Anolis sagrei: one gene and its partners. The protein of the gene in region 3 purifies or fractionates together with the protein of the main gene of each other region. This does not show direct contact. Links are inferred from orthologs where the notes say so. Each region holds a gene or a part of one and is shown on either strand. Other genes may lie near its edges.

The links. The genes of interacting proteins can lie anywhere in the genome.
Region 1: the proteins of OTUD1 (region 3) and FLNA purify together in Homo sapiens (affinity purification with mass spectrometry; 3 studies listed by BioGRID and IntAct, with this or other methods). This does not show direct contact. The link is inferred for Anolis sagrei from reciprocal best matches to the Homo sapiens genes OTUD1 and FLNA.
Region 2: the proteins of OTUD1 (region 3) and FLNC purify together in Homo sapiens (affinity purification with mass spectrometry; 3 studies listed by BioGRID and IntAct, with this or other methods). This does not show direct contact. The link is inferred for Anolis sagrei from reciprocal best matches to the Homo sapiens genes OTUD1 and FLNC.

The regions. Positions count from the first base shown.
Region 1 is NC_090022.1:176,930,171-176,937,702, reverse strand, and holds the start of FLNA (filamin-A), read left to right. Parts: upstream 1-4,530; 5' UTR 4,531-4,770; intron 4,771-7,532. UniProt on the Homo sapiens protein: Promotes orthogonal branching of actin filaments and links actin filaments to membrane glycoproteins. Anchors various transmembrane proteins to the actin cytoskeleton and serves as a scaffold for a wide range of cytoplasmic signaling proteins.
Region 2 is NC_090025.1:195,929,087-195,936,486, reverse strand, and holds the start of FLNC (filamin-C), read right to left. Parts: upstream 3,003-7,400; 5' UTR 2,746-3,002; exon of another isoform or gene 2,168-2,745; 5' UTR 2,154-2,167; coding exon 1,796-2,153; intron 1-1,795.
Region 3 is NC_090026.1:108,588,632-108,595,962, reverse strand, and holds the start of OTUD1 (OTU domain-containing protein 1), read right to left. Parts: upstream 3,019-7,331; 5' UTR 2,702-3,018; coding exon 1,604-2,701; 3' UTR 1-1,603. UniProt on the Homo sapiens protein: Deubiquitinating enzyme that specifically hydrolyzes 'Lys-63'-linked polyubiquitin to monoubiquitin.

The sequences.
Region 1 (7,532 bases), on a different chromosome or scaffold from region 3:
CAGGAAACTGCAGAGCCTGGGAAAATTGTTTTTTGGAACTACGCATTCATTGGCAATTTTGGGAATTGTCACCCAAAGAAGTCACTTTCCCAAGTTAAATCAACTGCCTCCTATAATTCATCCATGTAGCTCATGGTAGTCTCCAAAATAACTGGTACTTGTTCTCCAGGGGTTCAGGAAAAGGTCTTTTCACAGCAGAGATTGAATCTTACACCTTATGCAAGGAAGACAAGTACTCTGCCACTAAATTACAGCCCTTCCCTAGTGATTTCTACCATGATTCCTGGAGAGAGTAATATCACTTGGGTTTTGCCATTTAGACACCAAAATATCTTGGGCAACTTGTGTGATGATTCCTGGATCCTTCACTCAACAGGCACCAGCCAGAAGAACTGCTAGCAAAAATTCTGCTTTAATAAGCCCATCTGTCTCAAATATAACCCATACATGCTAAAATAAGTCTAAGTCTTTACTGAACAGAATATGGGATGCTTTTTGTTATACCATAAGTGATCCATTGATAACACTATGTAAAACTATTTTTGTTCCTGGGTTATAAATGTCATTTCCTAATTGGTTCTATCATAAAGTTTATTGAACTGCAAAAACTTTGTTTTTGTGGGACATCCCGTAGGACATTCTGCTATAGTTTTTCAATGAATATCTCATCAAATCACAACCAATTCAACATAGTTTGTGGCAATCACAAAAATGAAGTTTCTCGAATATAACAAGATATATACTTAGATTGTTTTTACAGGGCAAATAGCTTTTAAATTGTTATTTATTAATACTTATAGTATTTAAATTGTACTAAAGATCATTGTTTTTGATATCGTTGTTTATAATGTATTGCTTATATATTTGTATTATTGCTTGTTGTAAGCCTCCTGAGTCCCTTTGGGGAGAGGGGGCGGGGTAAAAATAAAATTTATTATTTTATAAATGTATAACAACTACCGTATATACTCGAGTATAAGCCAACCCGAATATAAGCCAAGGCACCTAATTTTACCACAAAAACCTGTGAAAACGTATTGACTCAAGTATAAGCCAAGGGTGGAAAATGCAGCAGCTACTATTCAATTTCAAAATAAAAATAGATATCAATAAAATTACATTAATTTGAGTCACCTACGGGCTGAGAAAGGTGGTATACAAATACAGTAAATAATAAATATATTGTCGAAGGCTTTCATGGCCGGAATCACTGGGTTGTTGTAGGGGTTTTTTTGGGTTATATGGCCATGTTCTAGAGGCATTTTCTCCTGACGTTTCACCTGCATCTATGGCAAGCATCCTCAGAAGTAGTGAGGAAGCCAACCTTAAAAACTCTGGCATAGACACTGAGAACTGGGAAGCTCTGGCCCGTGAGCGCTCCAGCTGGAGGTCAGCTGTGACCAGCAGTGCTGCAGAATTTGAAGAGGCATGAATGGAGGGTGAAAGAGAGAAACGTGCCAAGAGGAAGACACGTCAATCCAACGCGGACTGAGACCACCTTCTACCTGGAAACCGATGCCCTCACTGTGGGAGAAGATGCAGATCAAGAATAGGGCTCCACAGTCACCTACGGACCCACCAGAATACTGATCCTGGAAGACTATCCTACTCGGCCAACTAGGGATCGCCTAAGAAGAAGAAAAAGAAGAAAGAATGTGCGTGTCTCTTGTTCCACACGGCCTCGCCTGGTCCAGTCCTTGTTGTTTGTCCTCCATCTTTGTTGCAGACTACAACACTGGAAAACGGGGTTCAATACAGTTGGCCATGGAAACTATTGCATAACTCTGAACACGTGAAACACTTTCAGACCCGAAAAACCATGATAGGTTCAGCTTTGGATGGCCATAAGTTGGAAATGACTTGAAGGCACCCAACAACAAGAAACCCTTGCAACCACTGGCTGGGAATAGGTTAAAAGATGTGGAAAGTCCAAAGTTCTGCATTTGTGGAATGGCTTATGAGAAGATAGCTGTACCCTTCTCTCCTTATCAAGTAAGACACTTGCTCTGCAGCTATGGCTGTGGCAATGCCCACCAGCCACTTATCGCTCCAAACCCATTGCCTGCAATTCCTCATTTCCTGCCACTTCCTAGCATGCCTTCTTCTGTTTCCTACCCCATGTCCCTCAACCCTATTCTTCCTGCCTTCCTAGGCCTATTATTGATCTTTTAGTACTCTTGTCTTGTCTGAGTACTAAGTTAATCAAACAGCTTCTCATCCCATCCATGTGACCAAGTAAATGTCCTGCAAAGTCAGAATTTGGAGAGAGTTACTTTTACTCTAAGGAACGTTTCCAAGCTCTAGCCAAAGGTTGGAGTAGGGAAAGAGATCTGAGTTCTCTCTCTTAAAGTATATTGGCTCAAGATAGAGCGCAGTCTGTTCAGCGCCTTCCAAGTCGCCCAGTCCTCTGTGTTCCCAGGGCGGAGCAGGCCTGTAGTGAGGGGGTGGTTTTAGGGGTTCAACCCCCCCCCCCGAAATGTTTCAGATTTTTTTAAAAAAACCTGTTTTACTCATGAATTTTAATTGGTTAACCAAATCCCCATGCTAAGTCTATGAGATGCAAAAAAATTAAGTCGCTCCAGAACTGCAAGCACTATCTCAGGCAAATATTGACAATTTATTCACACTGTCATTACTTGCAGCAATAGGCGATGTAGTGAAGCAACCAAGTTGGGGGTGTGTGTGTTGAATGCTCTCATTAAGGAGGCCAGACTTGGTGGAGGTGGTTGACAGGCTACTGAAGGCTGCTCTGCCCCTGCTGTGCTCTTTGCTTCAGCGTGAGCTAGGAGGCAGGTTTCAACCCCCCCCCCACGAAAATTTCAACCCCCCCTGAAAATTTCAACCCCTCCCGAATTTTTTTTCTGGCTACAGCCCTGGGGGGGAGGGGGAGTCTCTCATTTGGTATCAGCCATTGGTTGAGGTGCTGGGTTTGAGCCTGCCACTTTTGGACTCTTGCTTGCTGAGGTGTTCCAGTGAGTGTCTCTGTAGATCTAAGAAAACTATGTCTTGATTTTAGTCGTTGATGTGCTGGCTGATACCCAAACAGGGGATGAGCTGGAGATGTTTCTGCCTTGGTCCTTTCACTATTGGCTGCTACTTCCCGGCGGATGTCGGGTGGTGCTATACCGGTTAAGCAGTGTAATTTCTCCAGTGGTGTAGGGCGCAGACACCCTGTGATAATGCGGCATGTCTCATTAAAAGCCACATCCACTGTTTTAGTGTGGTGAGATGTGTTCCACACTGGGCATGCATACTGAGCAGCAGAGTAGCACAGCGCAAGGGCAGATGTCTTCACTGTATTTGGTTGTGATCCCCAGGTTGTGCCAGTCAGCTTTCGTATGATATTGTTTCTAGCACCGACTTTTTGCTTGATGTTCAGGCAGTGCTTCTTGTTGGTAAGAGCACGGTCCAGAGTGACTCCCAGGTATTTGGGTGCGCTGCAATGCTCCAGTGGGATTCCTTCCCAGGTGATCTTCAGAGCTCGAGATGCTTCTCTGTTCTTGAGACGAAAGGCACATGTCTGTGTTTTGGATGGGTTGGGGATCAGGTGGTTCTCCCTGTAACAGGCAGTAAGAGCACCTAGAGCTTCGGAGAGCTTCTGTTCTACCATCTCAAAGTTCCCTGCTTGAGCAGTAATGGCACGATCATCAGCATAGATGAAACTCTCTGTCCCTTCTGGCAATGACCCTCATCCAATGACTGATCAAGACCAAACTTGGCACACAGAGCCCCCATGACCCACTCTCCATCCTGGTGCAATTTGGAGGAGGATGGACCACAGATTATGGGACTCGCAGTACCTTCACTAACTTCCTGAGACCACTGCGAGCCATATAAATAACTGATAAAGACCAACCTTGAGACACAATTCCTTTCTCAAATAACCAGGGCAGTGCTGGATCCCCAAGCTAGTAAATAAATAAGATAACCCAGTTCAAAGCAGATATTGTGGGATTTTCTGCCTTGATATTCTAGGATATAGGGCTGGGTGGAAGGGCCCTGAGTCCACACTGCCATATAGTGTAGTTCAAAGCAGAAAATGTGGGATTTTATTCAGCAGATTGGAAGGGGCCTTTAAAAGATAAATGGTGTCCCCTGACATGAAGTCCAGTCATGTCTGACTCTGGGGTGTGGTGCTCATCTCCATTTCTAAGCCGAAGAGCCGGCGTTGTCCACAGACACCTCCAAGGTCATGTGGCCGGCATGACTGCATGGAGCGCCTTGGCCATCCCTAAACAGAGTTCCTGCCTGGCGCCCCCTGGCGGAGGGCAATGCGGTGCCTCCTTGATTCCCTGCAGGGAGTTGTCCATTCACCGATGCAAAGGGCGCCCCCTAGAGGGAAAAATCGTAAGTTTCCTCGTCCAAAGCAAGAGGGAAAGAGGGGCACTTTCTACCCCGGTGTGGAGGCGCTGCCTGCACTCATCCCCGGGGGCGGTGTCTGGGCCGGTCCTCCTTCTCTCCCTCTCTCTTTCCTTCCTTCCTTCCTTCCTTCCTTCCTTCCTTCCCTGTATCTGCTGCCTCCCCTCCCTCCTTCTCTCCTCCCTCCGAGCCTGCTCTTTACCAATTAAGGCTTGCTGAGCCGCCCGCCCGGCCGGTGTCCACCCGCCGCCCCCCGCCGCCCGGCCAGTCCGAGCCCGGCTCCCACCCGAGACGCAGCAGCAGCATCCTCCTCCTCTTCTCCTTCCCGACCCAAAGACCCCCGTCCCGAGCCCAGGCAGGGCAGGAGGCACCCCACGCCGAGCCCAGCACCCGCTGCACCCGCCCGGAGAGGTGAGCAAGGGAGCCTGGAAGGGAGAAAGGAAGGAAGGAAGGAAGGGAAAGAAGGAAGGAAGCAAGGCTGGGTCTCCCCAAGAGTTGGGATGGAGAGGTCTGCAGAGAGAGAATGAGAGGGAGCCTGGCATTAACTGGACGCAGAAGGAGGAGAGTCACAAAAAGGGGAAAAGTCAGACAGAAAGGGAAATAGGGGAGGATGATGAAGATGGGAAGGATGGAGCAGAAAAGAAACTTGGGGCCCTTCCAAGTTTGAACTGGGTTATCTGAGTCCACACTCAGGGCTCTTCCACACAGCCCCATATCCCAGAAGATCAAGGCAGAAAATCCCCCAATATCTGCTTTGAACTGGGTTATTTGAGTCCACACTCAGGGCTCTTCCACACAGCCCCATATCCCAGAAGATCAAGGCAGAAAATCCCCCAATATCTGCTTTGAACTGGGTTATTTGAGTCCACACTCAGGGCTCTTCCACACAGCCCCATATCCCAGAAGATCAAGGCAGAAAATCCCACAATATCTGCTTTGAACTGGGTTATCTGAGTCCACACTCAGGGCTCTTCCACACAGCCCCATATCCCAGAAGATCAAGGCAGAAAATCCCCCAATATCTGCTTTGAACTGGGTTATTTGAGTCCCCACTCAGGGCTCTTCCACACAGCCCCATATCCCAGAAGATCAAGGCAGAAAATCCCCCAATATCTGCTTTGAACTGGGTTATTTGAGTCCACACTCAGGGCTCTTCCACACAGCCCCATATCCCAGAAGATCAAGGCAGAAAATCCCCCAATATCTGCTTTGAACTGGGTTATTTGAGTCCACACTCAGGGCTCTTCCACACAGCCCCATATCCCAGAAGATCAAGGCAGAAAATCCCACAATATCTGCTTTGAACTGGGTTATCTGAGTCCAAACTCAGAGCTCAATATCAATATCCCAGAATATCAATATCCCAGAATATCACAGTCCTATATCTCAGAACATCAAGGCAGAAAATCCCCCAATATCTGCTTTGAACTGGGTTATCTGAGTCCACACTCAGGGCTCAATATCAATATCCCAGAATATCAATATCCCAGAATATCACAGTCCTATATCTCAGAACATCAAGGCAGAATATCCCACAATATCTGCTTTGAAATTAGTTATCTGAGTCCACACTCAGGGCTCTTCCACACAGCCCCATATCCCAGAAGATCAAGGCAGAAAATCCCCCAATATCTGCTTTGAACTGGGTTATCTGAGTCCACACTCAGGGCTCTTCCACACAGCCCCATATCCCAGAAGATCAAGGCAGAAAATCCCCCAATATCTGCTTTGAACTGGGTTATTTGAGTCCACACTCAGGGCTCTTCCACACAGCCCCATATCCCAGAAGATCAAGGCAGAAAATCCCACAATATCTGCTTTGAACTGGGTTATCTGAGTCCAAACTCAGAGCTCAATATCAATATCCCAGAATATCAATATCCCAGAATATCACAGTCCTATATCTCAGAACATCAAGGCAGAAAATCCCCCAATATCTGCTTTGAACTGGGTTATCTGAGTCCACACTCAGGGCTCAATATCAATATCCCAGAATATCAATATCCCAGAATATCACAGTCCTATATCTCAGAACATCAAGGCAGAATATCCCACAATATCTGCTTTGAAATTAGTTATCTGAGTCCACACTCAGGGCTCTTCCACACAGCCCCATATCCCAGAAGATCAAGGCAGAAAATCCCACAATATCTGCTTTGAACTGGGTTATCTGAATCCACACTCAGGGCTCAATATCAATATCCCAGAATATCACAGTCCTATATCTCAGAATATCAAGGCAGAAAATCCCACAATATCTGCTTTGGACTAAGTTATCTGAGTCCACACTCGAAGCTCTTCCACACAGCCCCAGAATATCAAGGCAGAAAATCCCACAATATCTGCTTTGGACTAAGTTATATGAGTCCACACTCGAAGCTCTTCCACCCAGCCCTGTATCCCAGGATATTAAGGCAGAAAACCCCTCAATATCTGCTTTGAACTGGGATATCTGAGTCCACATTCAGGGCTCTTCCACACAGCCCCAGAATATCAAGGCAGAAAATCCCACAATATCTACTTTGAAATGAGTTATATGAGTCCACACTCAGGGCTCTTCCACACAGCTCCAGAATATCGGCAGAAAATCCCACAATATCTGCTTTGAACTGGGTTATCTGAGTACATACTCAGGGCTCTTCCACACAGCCCCATATCCCAGAAAATCCCACAGTATTTGCTTTGAACTGGGTTATCTGAGTCCACACTCAGGGCTCTTCCACACAGCCCTATATCCTAGAATAGCAAGGCAGAAAATCCCACATTATCTGAGTGTGGACTCAGATAACCCACCCAGTTCCCAAGCAGATATTGTGAGATTTTCTGCCTTGATATTCCAGGATATAGGGCTGTGTGGAAGGGGAGGAAGGAAACCCCCGCGATGGAGGAAGCAAGAGAAGCTGTCAAAGGAAGAGAAGGGATGCATACAAGACCCACAGAAAGGGAAGGATGGGAGTCTGAAAGTGAAAGGAGGAGAGAGCTTCAGGCCCCTTCTACACTGCCATATAATCCATAGCGGATCATCTGCATGATCTGCTTTGAACTGAATTATATGAGTCTACACTGTCATATAATCCAGTTCAAAGCAGGTGATCTGTATTTTGCACAGCAGTGTGGAAAAGGTCCTAGAGCAGTGGTTCTCAACCTGTGAGTCCCCAGATGTCTTCAACTTC
Region 2 (7,400 bases), on a different chromosome or scaffold from region 3:
CGCGTTATGATTCCACTTGAGTTGCCTTGGTTCCACCCCATAGAATCCTGGGATTTGTAGTTTCACACAATGTTGTCACACAGATGTCTCTAACTCCTAAACGACAAATCCCATTTGAACTGTTATGGATCAATACAGGATTCTATAGGACAGGACCATGGCAGCAAAAGCAGGATCTCAGTGCGATAGCAATTATCGCACTGCACAATTATCGCATGGTGATTCCACTTGAGCTGCCTTGGTCCTACCTTATGGAATCCTGAGATTTGTACCAACTCTGACTTCTAGACTATACATCCCAGGACTCGAAAGGATGGAAGCATGGCAATAGGACGAGAGAAAGCAGAATTTCAATGCGATAGCAATTATCGCACTCCACAATTATTGCGCTGCCTTGGCTCCACCTCATGGATCCTGGGCTTCATACCAGATCTGACTTCTGTACTATAAATCCCAGGACTCACCAGGATGGAAGCACTGTCTACAAATCCCATTTGAACTATTGTGGTTCATTGAAGGGTTCCATAGGACGGGAGGATGGTAGCGAAAGCAGAATTGCAATGCGATAGCAATTATCGCACTCCACAATTATCGCACTGCCTTGGCTCCACCTCATGGATCAGCTCTGACTTCTGTACTATAAATCCCAGGACTCACCAGGATAGAAGAACTGTCTACAAATCCCATTTGAACTATTGTGGTTCAATGAAGGGTTCCATAGGACGGGAGGATGGTAGCGAAAGCAGAATTGCAATGCGATAGCAATTATCGCACTCCATAATTATCGCACTGCCTTGGCTCCACCTCATGGATCCTGGACTTCATACCAGCTCTGACTTCTGTACTATAAATCCCAGGACTCACCAGGATGGAAGGACTGTCTACAAATCCCATTTGAACTATTATGGTTTAGTGAAGGGTTCCATAGGACAAGAGCATGGTAATGAAAGCAGAATTGTAATGCGATAGCAATTATCGCACTGCACAATTATCACACTGCCTTGGCTCCACTTCATGGAATCCTGGGGTTTGTACCAGCTCTGACTTCTGGACTACAAATCCCAGGACTCACCAGGATGGAAGCACTGTTTACAAATCCCATTTGAACTATTGTGGTTCATTGAAGGGTTCCATAGGACGGGAGGATGGTAGCGAAAGCAGAATTGCAATGCGATAGCAATTATCGCACTCCATAATTATCGCACTGCCTTGGCTCCACCTCATGGAATCCTAGGATTTGTGCCAACTCTGACTTGTGGACTACAAATCCCAGGACTTGCCAGGATGGAAGCATGGCAATGAAGGTGGAATAGCAGGACTATAGCACCATCTACAAATTCCATTTGAAATATTATGGTTCAATGAAGGGTTCCATAGGACAAGAGCATGGTAACGAAAGCAGAATTGCAATGCGATAGTAATTATCGCACTGCACAATTATCACACAATCCTGGAATTCGTACCAGCTCTGACTTCTGGACTACAAATCCCAGGACTTGCCAGGGTGGAAGCATGGCAATGAAGGTGGAATAGCATGACTATAGCACCGTCTACAAATCCCATTTGAACTATTATGGCTCAATGAAGGGTTCCATAGGACAAGAGCACAGTAACGAAAGCAGAATTGCAATGCGATAGTAATTATCGCACCGCACAATTATTGCACAATGCTGGGATTCGTACCAGCTCTGATATCTGGACTACAGATCCCAGGACTTGCCAGGATGGAAGCATGGCAAGGAAGGTGGGACAGCAGTGCCGTTACACCACCACATGCATGGGCACCCAGACTCACCGATGGAGACCAGCTTGATGTGCTCCCGGTCGAGGAACTCGAGGGCCACGGAGACGTTCTCCAGCTTCATCTGGCGGAAGTTGGGCCGGGCATGGTACTTGCGGTACATCTTCTTCTGGCTCAGCACCTCGAGGAGGCCAATGAGCTTCAGCCCGTCGCTCAGGTCCTTCTGGAGGTCACCGATGCGCTTGTTGACGCACTTGAGGTGCTCATTGCACCAGCGGGTGAAGGTGTTCTGCTGGATCTTCTTCCAGGGCGCGTCCTCGGCCAGGTCCTTCTCGGTGGCCGGCATCTCGTCCTGCTCCTCGCCTGAGCCATAGGCCGCCGGGGACTGGTCGTAGTAGCTGTTGCTGTTCATGGTTGTGGGTGGATCTAGGTGGACAAGGAAGAGACACCAAGCAGGTCAGAAGATGCTGAAATCGACCAATTCACAGGATGGACAATAATGTATCCAAACAAGGAATCAACCAGCCCAACAGATGGAAAGTACGGTTGAAACCAATCAGCTCAGGAGAGGCTGAAGAGGAGTGGTGGGAAGGAAGGAGTCCAGAGGATGGGTGAAAGTGACCAGCTCAGAAGAGGCTCAAGTGGACACGGCCAGAGGATGGGGACTGAGCAGCTCAGAAGAGGCTGAAGTCCCTCCACTCCCAGAGAAGAGAAACTGATGGATGGGTTGACCCACTCAGACTCAGTTGACCAGAAATCCACCAGCTCAGAAGACACTGAGGTTGATCAGCTCAGAGGAGAGAAACTGACCAGTCCAAAAGACAAGTGACCAGCTCAGATCCTGAAAGGGGACAGCTTCGAGGAGAGAAAGTGACCGGTCCGAAGGGTTTCCCCAGCTGAGAAGATGCTGAAAGTGGAGGGCTGGAAGTGACCCGTTGAGGGGAGGGCTGGAATGGCCCAAATCCTGCGTGGGAAGTTGGCGAAGTCACAGGAGTGGAACTCACCCGAGGAAGGAAGGAAGAGAGAGGCACAAAACAAGCTCTCCAACTTTTCGCAAGTTTCCTGGTCGAAGGGAAAGCGCTCCAAAGGTGTGAGAAAGTCCAGAAAGAGACGCGGAAATCAGGCAGGAACACGAGTGGGGTCCTGGGTTGTCTTTTCCTCTTGGAGAAGGAAGGCAGGCAGGCGAGGAGCCGAGCGAGGGAGCGATGCGCCCTGAGCCGCACGCCGGAGAGTGTCCCTCCGAGGGCCAGGAGGGGCTTTTCTAAGGCGCCCCCTCCCCTCCCCTCCCCTCCTGGGCAGGCCCCTCCCCTCCCACGGACCCCCCCCCCTTCCCCCTTCCCTCTCCCTCCACGTCAGGGCCCAGGACTCCCAGGAATGCCTCCGCTCTGACCATATACAACGAAACGGGGAAGCAGGCGCGCCGGGCTCGGCACCCGCACCCCCACGCGCGCCCCACGCCCCCTCCAAGCCCGGCCTCTCAGATAGACACGCCACTCCGGATTGGGCGCCCGAATGGCCACGGGGTGCCCATTGGATGAGGGTACACCCAGACAGCCCCCTTTTCCCTACCACTCCTTCTCCTCCCTTCTTCCCCTTGAGGATCCCCAAGAGTCACCACCAACTTTGCGCTCAACTTTGCGCCTCTCCACACTCCCAGGCTATTTTTAAGCCTTTCCCTTCGCCACAAAAGAGGGGGGGGGGGGGTCCCAGAGTTGGAGGGTGGAGGGCTTTGGGTCTCGGTTGGGGGGGATGTGGAGGGACAAGCCTGGCCCACAAGCTGGACAATAAGGGACACCAAGAAGAGGAAGACTTTCTCAGCTGGAGGGTCACAATTGCGTCAAAGCGTGACTTGGTCACAATTGCTTCAAAGCCCATTTTGGGGGAATACCAGCCACTTAGAATCCCAGAATCATAGAGTCATAGACTTGGGAGAGAGCCCATGGCTCACCCAGTCCAACCCCTTGCCAGGTAGGAAGGCACCATCAAAGTATCCCCAACAGATGGCCATCCAGCCTCAAAGCTTCCAAGGAAGGAGCTTCCACCAGACTCCCAGGCAGAGAGTTAATCATAGAATCATAGAATCAAAGAGTTGGAAGAGACCTCCTGGGCCATCATCCAGTCCAACCCCATTCTGACAAGAAGCAGGAATATTGCATTCAAATCACCCCTGACAGATGGCCAGCCAGCCTCTGTTTAAAAGCTTCCAAAGAAGGAGCCTCCACCACACTCCCTCCGGGGCAGAGAGTTCCACTGCTGAACGGCTCTCACAGTGAGGAAGTTCTTCCTCGTGTTCAGATGGAATCTCCTCTCTTGTAGTTTGAAGCCATTGTTCCATTGCGTCCTAGTCTCCAGGACAGCAGAAAACAAGCTTGCTCCCTCCTCCTCCCTGTGGCTTCCTGTCATAGAATCATAGAATCATAGAATCAAAGAGTTGGAAGAGACCTCATGGGCCATCCAGTCCAACCCCCTGCCAAGAAGCAGGAATATTGCATTCAAATCACCCCTGACAGATGGCCATCCAGCCTCTTTTTGAAAGCTTCCAAAGAAGGGGCCTCCACCACACTCCGGGGCAGAGAGTTCCACTGCTGAACGGCTCTCACAGTCAGGAAGTTCTTCCTCATGTTCAGGTGGAATCTCCTCTCTTGTAGTTTGAAGCCATTGTTCCATTGCATCCTTGTCTCCAAGGAAGCAGAAAACAAGCTTGCTCCCTCCTCCTCCCTGTGGCTTCCTCTCACATATTTATACATGGCTATCATATCCCCTCTCAGCCTTCTCTTCTTCAGGCTAAACATGCCCAGCTCCTTAAGCCGCTCCTCATAGGGCTTGTTCTCCAGACCCTTGATCATTTTAGTCGCCCTCCTCTGGACACATTCCAGCTTGTCAATATCTCTCTTGAATTGTGGTGCACAGAATTGGACACAATATTCCAGGTGTGGTCTAACCAAAGCAGAATAGAGCACGGGGAGCATGACTTCCCTGGATCTAGACACTATGCTCCTCTTGATGCAGGCCAAAATCCCATTGGCTTTTTTTGCCGCCACATCACATTGTTGGCTCATGTTTAACTTGTTGTCCACGAGGACTTCAACATCTTTTTCACACGTACTGCTCTCAAGCCAGGCATTGTCCCCATTCTGTACCTTTGCATTTTGTTTTTCCTGCCAAAGTGGAGTATCTTGCATTTGTCACTGTTGAACTTCATTTTGTTAGTTTTGGCCCATCATCTCTCTAATCTGTCAAGATCGTTTTGAATCCTGCTCCTGTCCTCTGGAGTATTGGCTATCCCTCCCAATTTGGTGTCGTCTGCAAACTTGATGATCCTGCCTTCTAACCCTTCATCTAAAGCAAAATAATACAACATAAAATCATAAAATAATATTGTTATTTATTTATTTATTTACAGTATTTATACTGCACCCTTCTCACCCCGCAGGGGACTCAAGGCGGATTACAATGTACATGGCAAACATTCAATGCCAAAGACACACAACAGATATAGGCAGACAGTCAGAGGCTATTTAACTTTTCTGGCTGCCAGGAGAGCTGTCGCTTTCATCGTCCATCTGCGACACTGATGAAGTATTTCCGCATTCCCCGCATGCTTTTGCTGGAGTCTTTTTTATGGCCTCATAAATTATTTAAATTAGCTTCTCCATGCATAGGTGGTACCTAAATTTCCTACTTGACAGATGCAACTGTCTTTTGGGTTGCAAAGGTCGACAACAATCTACACAATTGGTCAGAAGCTCACTCCGACCCGGACTGGCTTCGAACTCATGACCTTTTGGTCAGAAGTGATCTTGACAAGCTGGAATGTGTCCAGAGGAGGGCAACTAAAATGATCAAGGGTCTGGAGAACAAGCCCTCTGAGGAGCGGCTTAAGGAGCTGGGCATGTTTAGCCTGAAGAAGAGAAGGCTGAGAGGAGATATGATAGCCATGTACAAATATGTGAGAGGAAGCCACAGGGAGGAGGAGGGAGCAAGCTTGTTTACTGCTTCCCTGGAGACTAGGACGCAGAACAATGGCTTCAAACTACAAGAGAGGAGATTCCATCTGAACATTAGGAAGAACTTCCTGACTGTGAGAGCCGTTCAGCAGTGGAACTCTCTGCCCCGGAGTGTGGTGGAGGCTCCTTCTTTGGAAGCTTTTAAACAGAGGCTGGATGGCCATCCGTCAGGGGTGATTTGAATGCAACATTCTTGCTTCTTGGCAGAATGGGGTTGGACTGGATGGCCCATGAGGTCTCTTCCAACTCTTTGATTCTATGATTCTAACAGTATCTCTTGCTGTTTCTTTGTCAGTGTTGATCTGGAGAGTGTCTGGTTTGCGTACTCTGGAACAGGCAACATATAATTGTCCTTCTTTAAGGGTCTCTTTCAAATCTATGATACTATATATCCGTGTGCATGAATCATATATATCTATCTATATCTATGGCTGGAAGGCTCGTTGTCAGGAGGGCTTTGATTACGTTTTCTTGCCCTGGTGAAGGGAGTTGGCTTGGATGACGTTAAGTATTTTCTGTTGGTCATGGCGGTTCTTTGTGTCAAGTTTGACCCAATTCTGTCGTTGGTGGGGTTCAGAATGCTCTTTGATTGTAGGTGAACTATAAATCCCAGCAACTACAACTCCCAAATGTCAGGATTCTATTTTCCCCGAACTCCATCAGTGTTCACATTTGGGCATATTGAGTATTCTTGTAGAGTTTGCTCCAGATCCATCATTGTTTGAGTCCGCAGTGCTCACTGGATGTAGGTAAACTACAACTCCAAAACCAAAGGACACTGCCCACCAAACCCTTCCAGTATTTTGTGTTGGTAATGGGAGTTCTGTGTGCCAAGTTTGGTTCAATTCTATCGTTGGTGGGGTTCAGAATGCTCTTTGATTGTAGGTGAACTATAAATCCCTGCTACTACAACTCCCAAATGTCAAGGTCTATTTCCCGCAAACTCCATCTATGTTCATATTTGGGCATATGGAATATTCGTGTCAAGTGTTTGAATCCACAGTGCTCTCTGGATGCAGGTGAACTACAACTCCCAAAGTCAAGGTCAATGCCCACCAAACCCTTCTAGTGTTTTCTGTAAGTCATGGGAGTCCTGTGTGTCACCTTTGGTTCAATTCCATCATTGGTGGAGTTCAGATTGTAGGTGAACTATAAATCCCAAGAACTACAACTCCCAAATGACAAAATAAAAAAAATGAGTGAAGGACATACATTGGGTTGTTAGGTGTCTTGTGTCCAAATTTGGTGTCAATTCACCCACTGGTTTTTGGGTTCTGTTAATCCCACAAACGGACATTACATTTTTATTTATATAGACCAGTGGTTCTCAACCTTCCTAATGCCGCGACCCCTTAGTACAGGTCCTCACATTGTGGTGACCCCCAACCATAACGTTATTTTCGTTGCTACTTCTTTAATTTTGCTCCTGTTATGAATCATAATATAAATATCTGATATGCAGGATGTATTTTCATTCACTGGACCAAATTTGGCACAAATACCTTAAACGCCCAAATTTGAATACTGGTGAGGTTGGAGGGGGTTGATTTTGTCATTTGGGAATGTTGGAGTTGCTGGGATTTATAGTTCACCTAAAATCAAAGAGCCTTCTGAACTCCACCAATGATGGAATTGAATCAAACTTGGCACAC
Region 3 (7,331 bases):
AACAGCCTCAGGTCTCTTTTTTGGGGGCTTTGAAAATATATCAATTTAATTCTAGGATAGGAAAAGCCAATTTGTTTGTGGGGATGTTCTCCTTCCTGCACAGAAAGTGTACGTTTCAGACCTTGATGAAAATTTAATCTGCCCTGTATTTGAATGCTTTAATTAGGGAACACATTTAAAAAACAAAGTCTGCTTGATGCTTGGGGAGGAATCCTTAAGCCAGTGGTTCTCAACCTTTTGGGTCCCCAGATGTTTTGGCCTTCAACTCCCAGAAATCCTAACTGCTGGTAAAAAGGCTAGGATTTCTGGGGTTTGGTAGTCCAAAACACCTTGAAGCCTTGGTTGGGAACCACTGCCTTAAGCAGATTTTAGAGGACGTGCAGAGCTTCAGGGAGAAGAAAAGCTCTTCCCACATTCTTCAGATTTGGAAGACGTGATGTCTACATCCATGGCATTGAAAATGTACACCCATGGCATTGAAAAAGTATTCCCATTCATTTAACTTCTGTAGGGCAAAGATATACCAACCCCAGAAAAAGTTTTTAGGCTTTAGATCAGACATGGCAAACTTGGGCTCTCGAGGTGTTTTGGACGTCAACTCCCACCATTCCTAACAGCCTCAGGCCCTTTCCTTTTCCCCCTCAGCCGCTGAAGAGGCCTGAAGCTGTTAGGAATGGTGGGAGTTGACGTCCAAAATATCTGGAGGGCCTAAGTTTGTCCATGCCTGCTTTTGATTTTTGGAATCAAAAGGGAGGGGGCTGAGGCTGTTGGGAATGGTGGGAGTTGGAGCCCAAAACATTTCGAGGGTCCAAGTTTGCCCAGGCCTGCTTTAGATGATTGGAAACTAAAGGGCTGTTTGGAATGGTGGGATTTGGGAGTCCAAAACACCTCGAGGGGCCAAGTTTGCCCAGGCCTGCTTTAGATGTTTGGAAATTAAAGGGATGGGACCGAGGCTGTTGGGATTGGTGGGATTTGGAGTCTAAAACACCTTGAGGGCCCAAGTTTGCCCAGGTGTTTGGAAATTAAAGGGAAGGGACAGCGGCTGTTGGGATTGGTGGGATTTGGAGTCCAAAACACCTTGAGAGTCCAAGGTTGCCCATGCCAGCTTTAGATGTTTGGAATCTAACGGGGGGGGGGGGGGGGTGAGACTGATAGGTATGGTGGGAGTTGGAGTCCAAACCACCTAGAGGGAGGGTCCAAATTTGCCCAGGCCTGCTTTAGAAGTTTGGAAACTAAAGGGAAGGGCCTGAGGCTGTTGGGAATTGTGTGGGTTGGAATCCAAAATATCTGGAGGACCCAAGTTTGCCCAGGTGTTTGGAAATTAAAGGGAAGGGACAGAGGCTGTTGGGATTGGTGGGCTTTGGAGTCCAAAACATCTGGAGGGCCCAAATTTGCCCAAGTCTGCTTTAGATGTTTGGAAATTAAAGGGAAGGGACTGAGGCTGTTGGGAATAGTGGGCGTTGGAGTCCAGCCCACCTAGAGGGAGGGCCCAAGTTTGCCCAGTCCTGCACAGAGTTCAGTCAGCCTGGGCTGGTCCCTCAGAAAGTCTTAAGGCGTCCAGGGCGAGCCCTTCTCTCCCTCCCTCCCGGCCTGGCCTTGGGAGTCAGGACCCGGCGGCGGCGCCCCTTCCCTGGCCCTGCTCGAGGTACATCCGGGAGAGCGAGAGCGCCATGGCCTTGGCGAGCTCCTCGTCGCGGCGGCGCTGGGCTTGGGCTTGCCGGCACCAGGCCTCGTACTCGGGGTTGGGGGCGGGGCGGTCGAGCACGGCGTCGTAGTGCCCGCTGCTGAGCCAGCTGAGCCAGATGGTGCCGCCGCTGCGGCGGGGCTGGTGGCCGAGGCAGCCGGGCAGGGCGTGCTCCATGGTGGCCACGGTGGGGCTCTCGGGCCGGCCGCCCGTGGTGAGGCGCACGGCCAGGCCCAGCATGCGCCCCATGGCCAGCAGCTCCGGGTACCCGGCCCAGGCGCCGTCCTGCGCCGCGTTGACCAGGAACTCGCCCACGTCGCCTTCGATGAGGGCGCCGAAGTGCTCCAGGTGGTCGGCGATGTAGTGCACGGTCTGCTCGCGGAGCTCCCCGTGGCGGCGCTGCTCCCCGTGGGCGGCCTGGCACACCGCGCGGTAGAGGCAGTTCCCGTCCGGGATGATGTGGAAGCGGAAGCGGCCCTGCTGACGGAGGTACTTGTCCTGCTTCTCCACCTCGGCCAAGTACAGCGCCAGCTTCGAGGGCGGAGAGGCGGCCTCCGGGTGCGCGGCCCGGTCCTCCGCTGAGGCCGCCGCTTGCAAAGCCTGGCAGTGCTCGCTGAAGCGCAGGCCGCGGTTGCTAGGCTCCGGCTGGGGCGGGAAGGCAGGCCCTCCAGACGCTGCTGCTGCTGCTGCTGGAGCGGGAACGGCACCCTCTCCTCCGCTCTCGAGGGGCAGCCAGGAGGGGTCCAGAGGCCGGCGGCGCACCATGTTGGGCTTCCTCTGCGCCGCGGGGAGCAGCTCCAAGCAGGAGAAGGCGGGCATAATGGCGGAGGAGTCTCCTCTCGAGGGGTGGCTCTCCCCTTCCGCTGCGCCCTCCGCAGAGGCCTTGAAGGCGGCGCTGGGCCCGCTGTCCGCGCTGGGGCTCCCTCCTCCTCCTCCTCCTCCTCCTCCTCCTGCTGAGGCTGCGTTGGGGGTGGCGGGCGGCGGGTAGTGCGCGACGGCGGTGCTGAAGAGCTGCATCCTCCTTGCTGCTGCTGCGGCTGCTTTATAGGCCCCGGCGGCCCGCGGGGGGAGGCCGGGCCAAGGCCAGAGCGCGGCCCCTCCTCGCCGCCCGCCGACAAGGGTCAGGCCTCCGCTCCGAAATAGCCGCGCGCATCACCCTCCGGACCGCCAACCGCCGCCCTCCCTCCTCCCCTTCGTGCCTTCCCTCAGGCCGCGCCCGAGCGGGAATTCCTGCTGCGCCACAACTCCTCCCTCCCTCCCTCCTCACCCCCTCCCTCCTGGGAAGTGGAAGGGCTGGGCCTTGTTTACTTCCCCACGCTGGAAAGGAGGAGGAGGAGGAGGGGGCGTGGCCTGGCGCGCGGAGGGGCGGGGCCTCTCCTCCCCCGTGTCAGCTAAGGGGAGGCCTGCCCTGCCCGCTTCCCTACTTCCTTCCTGTTCGCTTCCTTCCTTCCTTGGAGGCGCCAGGACTGGAGGAACAGGCTCACAGATTGCCATGGGCCTCCAAAATTCAGGGCCATACAAACACAGCTGTAGGCAAGAAGAGGAGGATGGTTAGAGGTTCACCCCCCCCCCCCGGGATTTATAGTTCACCTACAATCAAAGATCGCCTTGAACCCCACCAAGGATTGTTGTTGTTCATTCGTTCAGTCGTCTCTTCGTGACCTCATGGACCAGCCCACGCCAGAGCTCCCTGTCGGCCGTCACCACCCCCAGCTCCTTCAAGGTCAGTCCAGTCACTTCAAGGATGCCATCCATCCATCTTGCCCTTGGTCTTTCTCCCACCCTGGACATTCCACAGATGTATAACCCTCACTTGCCCAGTTTCCAACAGGCCTCACAATCTCTGCGCATGCCTGCCATAGATGTGGGAGAAATGTCAGGAGAGAATGCTTATGGAACATGGCCATACAGTCCCAAAAACTCACAGTAACCCTGTTTATTTATTGTTTGATTATTTATTGTTTTATATATATATATATATATATATATATATATATATTATAATATGCATTATTATATGTGTACCCTATTGGTATTACTAGGTTCTTGTGGGTTTTTTCGGGCGATAGAGCCATGTTTATTGTTTTGGTATTATATATTGATTAATTATTATGATATAATTTTATTATTATTATTATTAAAGGTGGATTTTCTCTTACAGTAATAATAATAATGTTGTTGTTGTTCATTCGGTCAGTTGTTTCTGACTCTTTGTGACCTCATGGACCAGCCCACGCCAGAGCTCCCTGTTGGCTGTCACCACCCCCAGCTCCTTCAAGGTCAATCCAGTCACTTCAAGGATGCCATCCATCCATCTTGCCCTTGGTCAGACCCTCTTCCTTTTTCCTTCCTTTTTCCCCAGCATCATTGTCTTCTCCAAGCTTTCCTGTCTCCTCATTATGTGGCCAAAGTCCTTCATCTTTGCCTCTAATATCCTTCCCTCCAATGAGCAGTCGGGCTTCATTCCCTGAAGTATGGACTGGTTGGATCTTCTCGCGGTTCAAGGCACTCTCAGAATTTTCCTCCAACACCACAGTTCAAAAGTGTCTATCTTCCTTCGCTCAGCCTTTCTTATGGTCCAGCTCTCATGTCCATAGGTGACTATGGGGAATACCATTAACTATGCGGATCTTCGTTGCCAGTGTGATGTCTCTACTCTTCACTATTTTATCGAGATTGGTCATTGCTCTCCTCCCAAGAAGTAAACGTTTTCTGATTTCTTGGCTGCAGTCTGTGTCTGCAGTAATCTTTGCACCTTGAAATACAAAGCCTGTCACTTCCTCCACATTTTCTCCCCCTATTTGCCAGTTATCGATCAGTCTGGTTGCCATAATATTGGATTTTTTTATGTCTAACTGCAACCCAGCTTTTTTTTTTGAGCTGAGGACCCTTCTATCCAAGGTGAAAAAAGAGGCAAGCACTATGTATATTGACTTTCCCCACCCAATGCTGCTAATGAAAAAAAATATGTAAAAAGGCATATTGATCTGGATGCAATTGGTAGTCTCAATTGCAGTACATTCATGGAATAACTGGAATTTACACATCTGTTGAGTTTCCAAGTAAGCATTGATTAAATCAGTTTACTGTAGCCCAGTCATTTGGATTTACATCATAGATACTTAACAAAAACACACAAAGAATAACCAATGAGCCCAAAAAACCTGAAATATGGTATCTAACATTATAAAACTTGAAACACCGTCAAACCAACAGTTGGTAGCTACCAATTGTGGCTACAAAACCAGTTTTAACTGCTATCTGTCTTTGATTATAAGCTACTTCTCCAGTGATAACAGGAATGAAAATGGCATAGTTAACATGTTAATCATTCCTAGTTGGATTTACTGTGTTGTTCCTGAATCAAGTTACAGATTTTACATCAGTAATGTATTAATAGACATGTGTCTGTTGAATATTCTCTCCAGTGTAATTTTGTTGTGATGTAAACCAAGCTCCCAATGAAGGTTTTTGCGCTATAAATTTGTTAGGATTCAACTATACTTTTGGGGTAAGCACAAATCATTGAGACGTATGCACATTTTGGTTTTACTTCAATAGACTAACATGGTTGTAGTTCTGGACATCTTTTTTTATTGATGGGAGTTGTCCAGAAGGAGTAGCCTCCTTCCTACTTTCCCTCTTAATACGAGGGTTATCAGAAAGTAAGGTTCCAAGGCATGTAGCTCTCGCGGGGAATTTTTTCAGGGGAAGTTGGTATCACTGCTGTGTAGCAGGAAGCCAGTGGAAGTGAATGAGCAGTGCCAGTCGTTAGTAGCTCATCGACTGACATTGTGAAGGTTAGAGATGAGCGTCCTCATTCTGTTTCCCTCCCAGTGCAAAGTTTGTGCTGTAATATGCTATCTAAATGCTAAGGGCATGACCACCGCTGTGATTCATCACAAAACCGTTTCAGTTTATGGAGATGACATAATGTCAAGACAGCATGTGGCAAAATGGGTACTGAATATATTGTGAGACCATGAAACTTTGCAGAGCCATCCAAAACAAAGGTCGTGGGATGCTGACAGTGGGAGTCTTGTCTCTTTCATGACAGTGCGCATTCGCACATAGCTCATGCAATACAAGAGTTGTTGACTTAATTTGGTTGGGATGTTTTAAACCACCCCTCCCACGTCCTTGATCTTGCACCCAGTGTCTATCATCTGTTCACTAAATTGAAGGAACGCCTTGGTGAAAAACATTTTTCCTTCTCTCATGAGGTGAAAATCGAAGTGACAAACTGACTGAAAAAGGAAGAGGGAAACTTCTATGACACAGGCATCAAAAACTCGTCCCACGGATGACAAAATGTATTGAACTAAATGGTGATTATGTGGAAAAATAATGTAATACCTATGCTACAACCAGGCATGTAGCCGGGGGGGGGGGGGGCTCGGGGGGCTTCAGCCCCCCCCCCCCTCGAAATTTTCATGGTGGTTCGCAAAAAGGCCTTATTGGTGCATTATTTAAACTGTTATGTTTATTCATATCATGATCTGATCACCATACTCATTTTATCCCATATGCATGGGGGTATTGGGGTAATGATACAAAAGGTTTGCTAAGCTAGACCCTCTTTAACTGAGACTCAGCCCCCCCCCCGAAACTCAGCCCCCCCAACCCCCTCCTGAAAAAAACTTTAGCCCCCCCCCCCCCCCCCCCCCGAAACGAAATCCTGGCTACGGGCCTGGCTACAACCCATGCAAGTTTTATTAAAATATATTCATTCTTTGTATTTTTTAAAAAATCTTGTAACCTTACTTTCAGGATAACCTTCGTATATGTTTTCGTTATTACATAATATTAGTAGATTGTTTAGGAGCCCCTGGTGATGCAATGGGTTAAACCCTTGTGCTGGCAGGACTGAAGACCGACTGGTTGGAAGTTCGAATCTGGGGAGAGCATGGATGAGCTCCCTCTGTCAGCTCCTGCTCCCCATGTGGGGACATGAGCAAAGCCTCCCACAAGGATGGTAAAACATCAAACATCCGGGCGTCCCCTGGGCAAGGTCCTTGCAGACGGCCAATTCTCTCACACGAGAAGTGACTTGCAGTTTTTCTCAAGTTGCTCCTGACACACACACAAGTAGATTGTTTAAGAGGAATTATCTTAACTAACTTATGAATTGTTTCTTTTTAAAAAATGTTGTTTCCTTTCCTCACATCCTTTGAAATTGTGGAATACATTTCATTAGACACATAGATTAGTTCTAACACATTGGGAGAAATTTCAGCAGGAAAACAAACTGGAAGTTAGGTGTTTTTTGGTTACCAAGTTATTTGGAACAAAGGTAGATGCTAAATCAAAGAAATTAGAAATCTTCTAAAAATAGATTGTTTTTATATCTTGAAAAAAGACATCTATCTGATGATGTATATGTTTTTTAACCTTGGGAAGTATTACACATGTTATAATCTTTAAGGAATCAAAATTGAAACTTGTTGTGACTTCATTCAAAACACATCATGACATTATATTCCCCTTCAGATATATTTGTGAATGATTCAGTGCTAAAGTAATCCTCAACATTTGCTGTCTCCTGGCAACTGTCCTGACAAGTTTGGCATCTCTAGGAAAGGGATACTTTCAAAATGAGTGGCAATGACATCACAGTCCATCAGGGAAACTAGGAAGGCATGCTGCC